2 linked regions of the Nothobranchius furzeri genome follow. The protein of the gene in region 1 interacts with the protein of each later gene in a pairwise test. Links are inferred from orthologs where the notes say so. Each region holds a gene or a part of one and is shown on either strand. Other genes may lie near its edges.

Region 1 (6,122 bases):
GAAACTACTCATGACTGAGTCCTCTTTATTGTGCAGATGTGACGCTTTACCACAACAATAAAGGATACAGATCTAGTTTCAGAAGCTTGTGGGCCTCTCTTCACATTTTCCAGTGTACTGTCCTCACAGGCCTCATTTTGTCACAAATCAAAATGTTTCTATTGAATATGTTTAGTGTTAATTGGGCAGTACTGGAACATCTTAACTCTCTGTAAGACCTATCAGACAATAATAAATAAATAATAGGGAGTGAGTGGGTCAGTCGTGTACTGTCCAAAGAGCCAAGACGAAGCCTAATTAATCAAACAATGTTGTCAATTTGTACTAGGTGTTCAGGACCTTAATAGCTTGTAGGAAAATTGGCCCGGACATTTCTAGGTCAGGAAAAACAAAGGCCACAAGGAGGAAAGAGTTGAATACTGGTGTCAGGCTTGTTTCATCTCAAGGGTTTCACATGGCAAATTCAATGGACGGACTTTGGCGTATTAATACAGAATGAAGTTGCACAAAGATGCTCTGGTGCAGCGAGCCTCCTTTGAATGGACGAGGGAAACTCAACACCATACTAATCAATTTTCACAACTTTAAATCCAGGCCAGTGGATTAAATTATGCATGCTAACGGATTGTGAACAGCTTGATGGAGAGAAATATGATCCAAATGAAGATAATCATTTGAATTGAGACACATTGTTTTAGTGACCTTTAAAGAACGATTGGGACAGATTTTGCTTCTTTGACAGTTTGTGCTGAATAATCAATGTTTGTCAATACTTGCACCAGTGGAAAAATTAGAACTATAATGTCCACGTAAAAGTATCATAACATGCAGCTACGGGCTTGATGTGACTTGTCGGTGACATAAATTCAGCTTATTATTTACTTATTACAACAATAATTTTGACTTGATAAATCTGTCATAACAAGCTCCACAAATATAGGAAAATGCTGCATCCTGCAGTGTGTGACATCTAAAAGGTTTGTTCACATAATTTCACAAGCACACATTTGTTATTGGTCACTGTCCAAAACTGAGAAGATAAGCTTTACTTACCTAAGAATGGTGGAAGGTAAGACACAGCCTCCAGAAAGGGTCTTGTTTCCACCTGTTTGTCAGCCGGCAGCTGCCTGAACTGGTGCTCCATCAGCAGAGCCATCTCTGTAGTCTGCACACGCTAAAAGCAAAAGGCTGCCAAAGCCTGTGCTGCAGATTCAGTGTGTCACCAAGACTAGGTGAATCAACACACACGCACTAACTCACACACTCAAGTTACCTACTTTCAACCCAGGTCATGGAAGGACATCCAGCTGCCGGCAGGCTCATGTGATCAATTAGTCTACATGGGACATTTATTCCTCTATCTATCTATCTATCTATCTATCTATCTATCTATCTATCTATCTATCTATCTATCTATCTATCTATCTATCTATCTATCTATCTATCTATCTATCTATCTATCTATCTATCTATCTATCTATCTATCTATCTATCTATCTATCTATCTATCTATCATCTATCTATCTATCTATCTATCTATCTATCTATCTATCTATCTATCTATCTATCTATCTATCTATCTATCTATCTATCTATCTATCTATCTATCTATCTATCATCATCATCATCTAACTGTCTGTCTGTCTGTCTCTGTCAGAATAATTATATATTAACGAAATTGATAATAATAATAATAATAATAATAATAATAATAATAATAATAATAATAATAATAATAATAATAATAATTGATAATTTCCACCTGACTGAATATAAGTGACTGAATTTATTTCTAACAACAATTTAAACTGGGAAGATTTTCCCACCATTTTTTGTGTTGAAACTCACAAAAATCACCTAATTATATCCGATTTATTTATTTGTTTGTTTGTTTTATCAGCGCGCGTAAGTTGAGGTTGTGACAAGAAACGAAATGAGAAAAATCTTTTCGCGTTTCTTGAAATGAACACTTTTGGCCTTCGCTTGATTCCGTAGCGTTGGAGGGGAGTAAACCGTCTTTGGTAACTAAGGAAATACCTGAGAGCGGTTGTTTGAATTTGAATTAAAAGCGAAGACGGTTTAAATTCTTAAAGGTAGGCTTTTGTGTCCAAATGATACGTGCTGATTTATTTGAACGGTTTCTCTGCTGAGAGGCTAAATGTGGTTTATGGAGACAAACGAATCTAGGAACCGCCATTGTTTTCGTCAGCTGAGTTAGCATCTACGTTAACACAAACGTTAGAAACAGCGTCTTGTGCTTGATATAGACTATTATATTATTATATAGGCTTTCCATAGACTAATCTCAAGTGATGCCAGGTGTAACTGTGTTTAACTGTTGAGTTGCTTTTTTTTATTTTGTTGCTTGTGATTCAGACTGATGGCTTTTCCCACACGCTCGGTCCATCTGTCCAGTAGGAATCGGTGCCGGGTGCTGGAAGAACAGAAGGTCCAGCGTCGTGAGAGGGAGGCTCAACAGCGCCACCAGTGGGAGCTTCATTCTCGGTACCTAAAGGAGCAGGAAGTCCGCTGTCAGCAGCAGGCGGCCTGGAGCTGCCAGAGGTGCTTCCAGCAAAGGCACGCGCGTCTTTTTCTTACTTTGGGAGGGTGTTGTTGCAGCAGAGACGACTGGGGCCAAATCTACCTCATCGTGATGTAGAAGAGATAGGGCATGGGGATTCTTCTGTGATGCCTTCAATGAGATTGTAAATAATAATGCTCCATTCCGTTAAATCCGTGTTGAAGGTCGAGATAGCCCATAGTTTACTCTGATGAGTGAAAGCGATGCTGCCTAGGCAAAAGCTTGGAAATCTAAACCGGGAAGGGACTGGCTGTCATTCAGACGACTGCAGAATCGTTTCAACTCCACTGTAAATAAAGTCTAATCTGATTTTTATCTGTCTAAAAACTCAAGTCATCATGAGTGATTTTAGAAGGAAATCAAATAAAAAAGGATTCTCACTTAATAACCAATAAATCAGCTGAGCACTTTGTTTAGTCCGGTTTTCTCTGAATCTAAATCCTCACCTACAAAAGCCTAGAAAACAGCAGCTTACCATTTCACCTTCCTCGTTAGCTCACCTTCTACCACTCAGTCATTCAGTTTGATCCCATTTGTTGTCTCGGAGGTCCATAGCATACTGAAAAGTTTAGATCCAAACAAATCCTGACAGACTTGATCCTTTTTGGAAGCAGACTTCATAGCAGAACCACTGAGTCATGTTTTTAATATTGCCCTATCTAGTAATGAATTTCCTAATATTTGGAAATCTGCTTTTGTTTCCCCTCTAGAAAAAAAGAGACATCTCTGTTGTCAATAATTTCAGACCAAATTCTAAAATGAAATGTCTTTTCTTGTATATTCACGGTTTGGATCAGCAGACAAAGATGGCAACAAAAGACAATTGAAGTATTTTTTTTCTCCACTCTTTATTAGCATGTCAGCCTACCATCATTTGGAAGAGGAGGAGCAAAGAAAAGCCTTCCTGTGGAGACACAGAGGGAAGCTCAGAACCATGCTTCAGGAGGAACGAGACCAGCTGGAGGCAGAGCTTCGACAGCTTGTCCCTGACAAAACCACACGAATGAATCAAATGGTGCAGAAAGCTGAAGAGCTTCATTCAGCAAGAGAGGAAACGAGAAAAAAAGTAGTTCCCATAAATATTTTTGTTATTGATGGTCAGTGTTTTGCCACGTATGATTCTGTTCTCGTAACTTCTCTGTTTTTGTGTCTTCTAGATTGCACAGGAGCTTCTGAGAGAGCACTGGAAGAGAAACAATGCAGAATTACGACAGGTAAGTGGGTTTGAACTATTCATGCAAAAGTGATTAAAGCCCCAAATCTGGGCTGCACCAATGTGATTAATGACTCTGGGTATCAGGTAAACGTCTAGTGTGTGTGTGAAGGACCTGATAATCCAGGAAAACAGAGACTTTTTGTTCAGATGTCCATTTGATCTGAAAACTTATAGCTCTAGTGAGGCACACGTTCCATTACTTTCAGTTAACCTGAGTCTAGCCTTTGCTTTAGAGAGTAAAACGCTCTGGTTTCCTTTCCTCTAGGGGTCAGGTTCATCAGCACCTCTGTCACAACTCAGTCTTTAACTCTGTCTGCAGGCTGAGTCGGCGTTACATAAAGATCATGTTGTCAGCCGGTGGCAGGAGCAGGTATCTGAGAAGAAACAGGTAGGATGATCACCCCGAGTGTTCAATTAAACATGTCAAATGATGTTTATGTCAGTGTTTAATCCGTCCAGCCAGCCATTAAAGCTGCCATTATCCTTTTACATCACCAATTATTTATGTAGCACATCTATTTTTAATCAAAGTGCTTATGCATTCTGTGAGCACAGGATCACATCTGAAATCTCAGGTTAATCCAACTCAACGCCGTGCATAGTTAAGAAAGTTTGACACTTGATGTGAGCAACCCGTCTCATCAAACATGCAGAAAGAAGTGACAGAACGAGAGGAGAAGAGGCGCTTTGAGAACGAGCACGAGAGGACTCGAAAAGAGGCGCAGGAGAGGATGAAGCAAGCGGAGGAGAGACAGAAAGAAGAGGAGCGTAGGAGAGCAGAGGCTCTTCGCCAACAGATGGAAGAACTGAAGATGAGGGAGGAAGAGGTTTTTGCAGCTTCAAAAATAACATCTCTGCTTGTCTAAATAAAGCTTTTCTTCCTAACGGTGTGTTGATGCCCTCAGACCTCCCGTCTAAAAAAGGAGCAACAGGTTCTGATGATGCAGCAGGTGGAGCTAGATAAAATAGAAGAGGAGCGGAAGAAGATAGAAGACAGGCGCAAAAAAGCTGAAATGGGGTATAAGCAGCTCTTTCTGTAGATTATTCATCACAAGCTGATCAAACTTCATACATAATTAACTTTACCATCCAGGAGTTTTTTGATTCGTCAATATAAAGCTCAGCTGAGGAGGAAAGCCCAGCAAGTGCAGGAGGAGCTGGTACGGATCAGCCTCACCCTCAATCCAGATATATCTAATGTTTTATGTAAAATCTTTTTAAAAATCTTTTGTGAACGTCAGGAGGTTGACCGTAAGATCATGGCAGCCCTGCTAGAGGGAGAGGAGGAGGACCAAAGGCTGAAGGCAGCGAGGAGGGAAAGGGCGGTCGCCGACGCTGCCTGGATGAAATCTGTGCTTGAAGAGCAGCTGAAGCTGGAGCGCGAGAGGGAGGCTGAGTTTGAAACTGTCCACAGGTCAGCGTCAAGACTCTGCAAAGAAAAGAGAAGAGGTTCTTCTTCGTTTAAATGCAAACAAATATTTCACGTGAACTTACAGGGAGGACGCTCAGCGTGTGTGGGAGAAACGAGAAGCTCAATGGGAGAAGGAGAAGAAAGCCAGAGAGCGACTCATGCACGAGGTAAAACCGGGTTTCAGTGAAGGTTTCTCAAAAACGATTCTTTGGATTAAAAGATTTCTGTTTTTTCTTGTAAGGTGCTCGTGGAGAGGCAGCGGCAACTGGAGGAGAAAATGCAGAGGAACCGTGAGGCTCAAGAAAGCTCACTAAAAAGACGCGAGGAGCTGATCCAGGAGTTGGAGAAGGAGAGGGAGCTCAGACGCCTGGAGAAAGAGCAACACGAGGGCCGCAAGACAACAAGGATGCAAGAATTAGATGCTCAGGTTTGTGCTGCTTGTATGATTTTTAGTTTTCGCTTGCAAACATGTCCTAACATTTGAATGGTTAATGCAGGTGGAGCAGAAACACCAGGAGGAGATGGAGGAGCAGCGCAGGAGAGAGCGTGAACAAGAGGAGGACAGGGAGGCTCTTCGGATACAAGAGGAGCAGCTGAGGCTTGAGATGCAGAAGATGGCCGTGAAAGGGTACCAAGAAAAGGTAAAGATGCAGCTCAAACTGTCTGGAAAGAAGATGCTCCTTGGTGTTAAATTAAACTTTTCTTTTTTTTCTCCATTAGATTCACAACAAACCTTTATCAGTACCTGGGCATGTGCTGTCGGGGAGACTGAACTTCTGATGAGCTTCTTTTCTGTTGGTAATCAGCTTTAAAGTGCCAACAACGTAGAAGTCCTCTTTAAACTTGAACCGTTTCAACTTTAACCTTTAAAGTCTACCGAGATGTTTACAGTTTTTGGGTGGAATAGGAGAAAG
Region 2 (5,378 bases), on another chromosome or scaffold:
CAGCAGCATCAGAGCTCTTTTATGTTTTAGGTTTAATTTTGTGGCCAAGAAGCTTCACAAGCGTCTGGAGCAGCTAGGTGGTACCATGCTGGTTCCGGTCGGTCTGGCAGACGACCAGCACGACCTGGGGTGAGACCGCCGCTCCTCCGGATGAACACCTGTGTTTGGCTTTCTCTCACGCGGGTGTGTCTGGAACAGGCCGGACGCCGTCATCGACCCGTGGCTCTCTTTATTCTGGGAGAAGGTTCTGGTTCTGAACCCGTCTCTGGCTGATGTGGTCCCTCTGAGGGAGGACGAACCGTGAGTGTCTCTGTCCAGCAGCTCGTTCCATGTTGGGCTGTAAACACCAGCTCCTGTTTGGGTTTCGTTCCAGACTCCCACCTTCGTTCACGTTCCACTTCCTGGATGCTGAGACGAAGAGAACCACCGATCCAGCCAGAGTCCCCTCGGACCGAACCGCCCCGTCCGAGTCCTGTCCTTTTCCTGCCAGGATGCTGTCCAACAGGAGAGTGACGCATCCGTCTCATTTCCAGGATGTGCGACTGATTGAGTTTGATATTTCTGGGTCCGGGATCGAGTGCGTACCTTCAGCTGGTCCAGATCCGAATGTGGTTCTGGGATTTGTTCTGGACTTACCTGTGATGTTGCTCAGCAGGTTTGCAGCTGGAGACATTGTGATGATTCGTCCTCACAACGCTGCAGCAGATGTTCGGCTCTTCTGTCAGCTGCTCAGGTTGGACCCAGAATCCAGCTTCACTCTCAAACCCACGGGGAACGCTGCAGGTACTCCGGTGTTCCGGACCGTTTGGGTTAGGATAAATCCGTCTCCTTAGGGATTATTGGGGTCCTAAAGCTTCTCTGATCTGTCCTCTTAGTTCCAGCGGGACTTCCTGAGCCGTGCACCGTGCACCACCTGGTGGAGCGTTACCTGGACATCGCCGCTGTGCCGCGGCGTTCCTTCTTTGAGCTTCTGTCAACGTTCGCCACCGACGAGCGGGAAAGGGACAAGCTGATGGAGTTCAGCTCAGCGGCCGGTCAGGAAGAGCTGCACGGTTACTGCAACCGACCTCGACGCACAGCGCTGGAGGTGGGGACTAAACGGTCCAGAACCGCTGACCCAGTCCGGAGCCTCTGAACCGGTTTGATGCTCGTTTTGCAGGTTCTGACTGATTTCCCTCAAACTACAAGTGAACTCGGAGTGGATCACCTCCTGGACCTGTTCCCTGAGATCCAGCCACGATCCTTCTCCATTGCCTCTTCTCTAAAGGTAGCTCCGCCTCCTCCTCGACACTGGAGCAGGTCTGAGTAGTTCTACTGATCTAGAACAGAACCTCTCTCCACAGGCCCACCCAGACCGGCTGCAGATCCTTGTGGCCGTGGTTCGGTACCAAACCAAGCTGTATAGACCCAGACGAGGCCTCTGCTCCTCCTGGTTAGCATCTCTGGATCCTCAACAAGGTCTGGTTCTGATTTCCTAGATCCTCGGATTAAAATAGTGGAAGTTTAGATGTTTTAGATCATCTGAGCTGTTTGTTTCCACTTAGGAATGTTAGGATTTTTTTTCCCAGCGATCGGATTAACGGTCTTGTTTTGACGTGGTTCACTCGTCTGCAGTGGTCTCTCGTAGGAATGGATGCCTAGTAAGTTGTTCTCTGGGGAAAAAGCTCCGGTTCTCCTGTTTCAGGAACTTGAAGTGAGCCGCATCAGAGTTGAGCTTCGGGGGGCAGGGCTTTTGGTCTTCTGTGGACATCTCTCCTCTGATTGGCTAACAGCAACACGACTCTACCACTGACTGTCTGCTCTGCAACGTTGATGTTTTATCTCCACAAATAACACAAGCCTGGAGGAGTTCTGCTGTGTGGTGGAGTTGCTAATGCTAACAGTTAGCTTCTACTAGCTGAGACGTTCTCTGCCGTTTCCTGGATGCTAAACCAAAAACAGCCTTCCCCGTCGTGAGTCCAGATGGGTGACTCCATGAATGTTAGTGACAGTGTGACGTAGTAGATCTGTCAGGATCTTCTAATCCTAGAGTTTCACCGTCTGTTTTCTATCAGAAGCTACTGCAGGAGATAGGTGTAGGAGACTATTTATCAGAAGCTACTGCAGGAGGTAGGTGTAGGAGACTATTTATCAGAAGCTACTGCAGGAGATAGGTGTAGGAGACTATTTATCAGAAGCTACTGCAGGAGGTAGGTGTAGGAGACTATTTATCAGAAGCTACTGCAGGAGGTAGGTGTAGGAGACTATTTATCAGAAGCTACTGCAGGAGGTAGGTGTAGGAGACTATTTATCAGAAGCTACTTCAGGAGGTAGGTGTAGGAGACTATTATCTATCAGAAGCTACTGCAGGAGATAGGTGTAGGAGACTATTTTCTATCAGAAGCTACTGCAGGAGGTAGGTGTAGGAGACTATTATCTATCAGAAGCTACTGCAGGAGGTAGGTGTAGGAGACTATTATCTATCAGAAGCTACTGCAGGAGGTAGGTGTAGGAGACATCAGAAGCTACTGCAGGAGATAGGTGTAGGAGACTATTATCTATCAGAAGCTACTGCAGGAGATAGGTGTAGGAAACTATTATCTATCAGAAGCTACTGCAGGAGGTAGGTGTAGGAGACTATTATCTATCAGAAGCTACTGCTGGAGATAGGTGTAGGAGACTATTATCTATCAGAAGCTACTGCAGGAGGTAGGTGTAGGAGACTGTTATCTATCAGAAGCTACTGCAGGAGATAGGTGTAGGAGACTATTATCTATCAGAAGCTACTGCAGGAGGTAGGTGTAGGAGACATCAGAAGCTACTGCAGGAGATAGGTGTAGGAGACTATTATCTATCAGAAGCTACTGCAGGAGATAGGTGTAGGAAACTATTATCTATCAGAAGCTACTGCAGGAGGTAGGTGTAGGAGACTATTATCTATCAGAAGCTACTGCTGGAGATAGGTGTAGGAGACTATTATCTATCAGAAGCTACTGCAGGAGGTAGGTGTAGGAGACTGTTATCTATCAGAAGCTACTGCAGGAGATAGGTGTAGGAGACTATTATCTATCAGAAGCTACTGCAGGAGGTAGGTGTAGGAGACTATTATCTATCAGAAGCTACTGATGGAGATAGGTGTAGGAGACTATTATCTATCAGAAGCTACTGCTGGAGATAGGTGTAGGAGACTATTATCTATCAGAAGCTACTGCTGGAGATAGGTGTAGGAGACTATTACCTATCAGAAGCTACTGCAGGATATAGGTGTAGGAGACTATTATCTATCAGAAGCTACTGCAGGAGATAGGTGTAGGAGACTTATCAGAAGCTACTGCAGGAGATAGGTGTAGGAGACTATTTTCTATCAGAAGCTACTGCTGGAGATAGGTGTAGGAGACTTATCAGAAGCTACTGCAGGAGATAGGTGTAGGAGACTATTTATCAGAAGCTACTGCAGGAGATAGGTGTAGGAGACTATTTATCAGAAGCTACTGCTGGAGATAGGTGTAGGAGACTATTTATCAGAAGCTACTGCTGGAGGTAGGTGTAGGAGACTATTTATCAGAAGCTACTGCAGGAGATAGGTGTAGGAGACTATTTATCAGAAGCTACTGCAGGAGATAGGTGTAGGAGACTTATCAGAAGCTACTGCAGGAGATAGGTGTAGGAGACTTATCAGAAGCTACTGCAGGAGATAGGTGTAGGAGACTTATCAGAAGCTACTGCAGGAGATAGGTGTAGGAGACTATTTATCAGAAGCTACTGCTGGAGATAGGTGTAGGAGACTATTTATCAGAAGCTACTGCAGGAGGTAGGTGTAGGAGACTATTTATCAGAAGCTACTGCAGGAGGTAGGTGTAGGAGACTGTCAGAAGCTACTGCAGGAGATAGGTGTAGGAGACTATTATCTATCAGAAGCTACTGCAGGAGATAGGTGTAGGAGACTATTATCTATCAGAAGCTACTGCAGGAGATAGGTGTAGGAGACTATTATCTATCAGAAGCTACTGCAGGAGGTAGGTGTAGGAGACTGTCAGAAGCTACTACAGGAGATAGGTGTAGGAGACTATTTATCAGAAGCTACTGCAGGAGATAGGTGTAGGAGACAATTATCTATCAGAAGCTACTGCAGGAGATAGGTGTAGGAGACTATTATCTATCAGAAGCTACTGCAGGAGATAGGTGTAGGAGACTATTATCTATCAGAAGCTACTGCAGGAGGTAGGTGTAGGAGACTGTCAGAAGCTACTACAGGAGATAGGTGTAGGAGACTATTTATCAGAAGCTACTGCAGGAGATAGGTGTAGGAGACTATTATCTATCAGAAGCTACTGCAGGAGATAGGTGTAGGAGACTTATCAGAAGCTACTGCAGGAGATAGGTGTCGGAGACTATTTTCTATCAGAAGCTACTGCTGGAGATAGGTGTAGGAGAGTATTATCTATCAGAAGCTACTGCAGGAGATAGGTGTAGGAGACTATTATCTATCAGAAGCTACTGCAGGAGATAGGTGTAGGAGACTTATCAGAAGCTACTGCAGGAGATAGGTGTAGGAGACTATTTATCAGAAGCTACTGCTGGAGATAGGTGTAGGAGACTATTTATCAGAAGCTACTGCAGGAGGTAGGTGTAGGAGACTATTTATCAGAAGCTACTGCAGGAGATAGGTGTAGGAGACTATTTATCAGAAGCTACTGCAGGAGATAGGTGTAGGAGACTATTTTCTATCAGAAGCTACTGCAGGAGGTAGGTGTAGGAGACTGTCAGAAGCTACTGCAGGAGATAGGTGTAGGAGACTATTATCTATCAGAAGCTACTGCAGGAGATAGGTGTAGGAGACTATTATCTATCAGAAGCTACTGCAGGAGATAGGTGTAGGAGACTATTACCTATCAGAAGCTACTGCAGGATATAGGTGTAGGAGACTATTATCTATCAGAAGCTACTGCAGGAGATAGGTGTAGGAGACTATTTTCTATCAGAAGCTACTGCTGGAGATAGGTGTAGGAGACTATTATCTATCAGAAGCTACTGCAGGAGATAGGTGTAGGAGACTATTATCTATCAGAAGCTACTGCAGGAGATAGGTGTAGGAGACTTATCAGAAGCTACTGCAGGAGATAGGTGTAGGAGACTATTTATCAGAAGCTACTGCTGGAGATAGGTGTAGGAGACTATTTATCAGAAGCTACTGCAGGAGGTAGGTGTAGGAGACTATCAGAAGCTACTGCAGGAGATAGGTGTAGGAGACTTATCAGAAGCTACTGCAGGAGATAGGTGTAGGAGACTTATCAGAAGCTACTGCAGGATATAGGTGTAGGAGACTATTTATCAGAAGCTACTGCTGGAGATAGGTGTAGGAGACTATTTATCAGAAGCTACTGCAGGAGGTAGGTGTA

The links.
Region 2: the proteins of tchp (region 1) and ndor1 interact in binary tests that used the Homo sapiens proteins (3 or more experiments, as listed by UniProt). The two-hybrid records come from large-scale screens. The link is inferred for Nothobranchius furzeri from reciprocal best matches to the Homo sapiens genes TCHP and NDOR1.

What each region holds. Positions count from the first base shown.
Region 1 is NC_091757.1:45,562,713-45,568,834, forward strand, and holds the start of tchp (trichoplein keratin filament-binding protein), read left to right. Parts: upstream 1-1,970; 5' UTR 1,971-2,093; intron 2,094-2,150; exon of another isoform or gene 2,151-2,237; intron 2,238-2,376; 5' UTR 2,377-2,380; coding exon 2,381-2,577; intron 2,578-3,436; coding exon 3,437-3,647; intron 3,648-3,738; coding exon 3,739-3,795; intron 3,796-4,116; coding exon 4,117-4,185; intron 4,186-4,450; coding exon 4,451-4,624; intron 4,625-4,702; coding exon 4,703-4,815; intron 4,816-4,890; coding exon 4,891-4,957; intron 4,958-5,038; coding exon 5,039-5,211; intron 5,212-5,293; coding exon 5,294-5,375; intron 5,376-5,449; coding exon 5,450-5,635; intron 5,636-5,705; coding exon 5,706-5,849; intron 5,850-5,928; coding exon 5,929-5,988; 3' UTR 5,989-6,122. Other genes in the region: gltpa (glycolipid transfer protein), read right to left, coding at 1,054-1,156. UniProt on the Homo sapiens protein: Tumor suppressor which has the ability to inhibit cell growth and be pro-apoptotic during cell stress. Inhibits cell growth in bladder and prostate cancer cells by a down-regulation of HSPB1 by inhibiting its phosphorylation.
Region 2 is NC_091746.1:70,905,958-70,911,335, forward strand, and holds part of ndor1 (NADPH-dependent diflavin oxidoreductase 1), read left to right. Parts: intron 1-30; coding exon 31-129; intron 130-198; coding exon 199-300; intron 301-373; coding exon 374-577; intron 578-655; coding exon 656-783; intron 784-875; coding exon 876-1,087; intron 1,088-1,159; coding exon 1,160-1,267; intron 1,268-1,343; coding exon 1,344-1,458; intron 1,459-5,378. UniProt on the Homo sapiens protein: NADPH-dependent reductase which is a central component of the cytosolic iron-sulfur (Fe-S) protein assembly (CIA) machinery.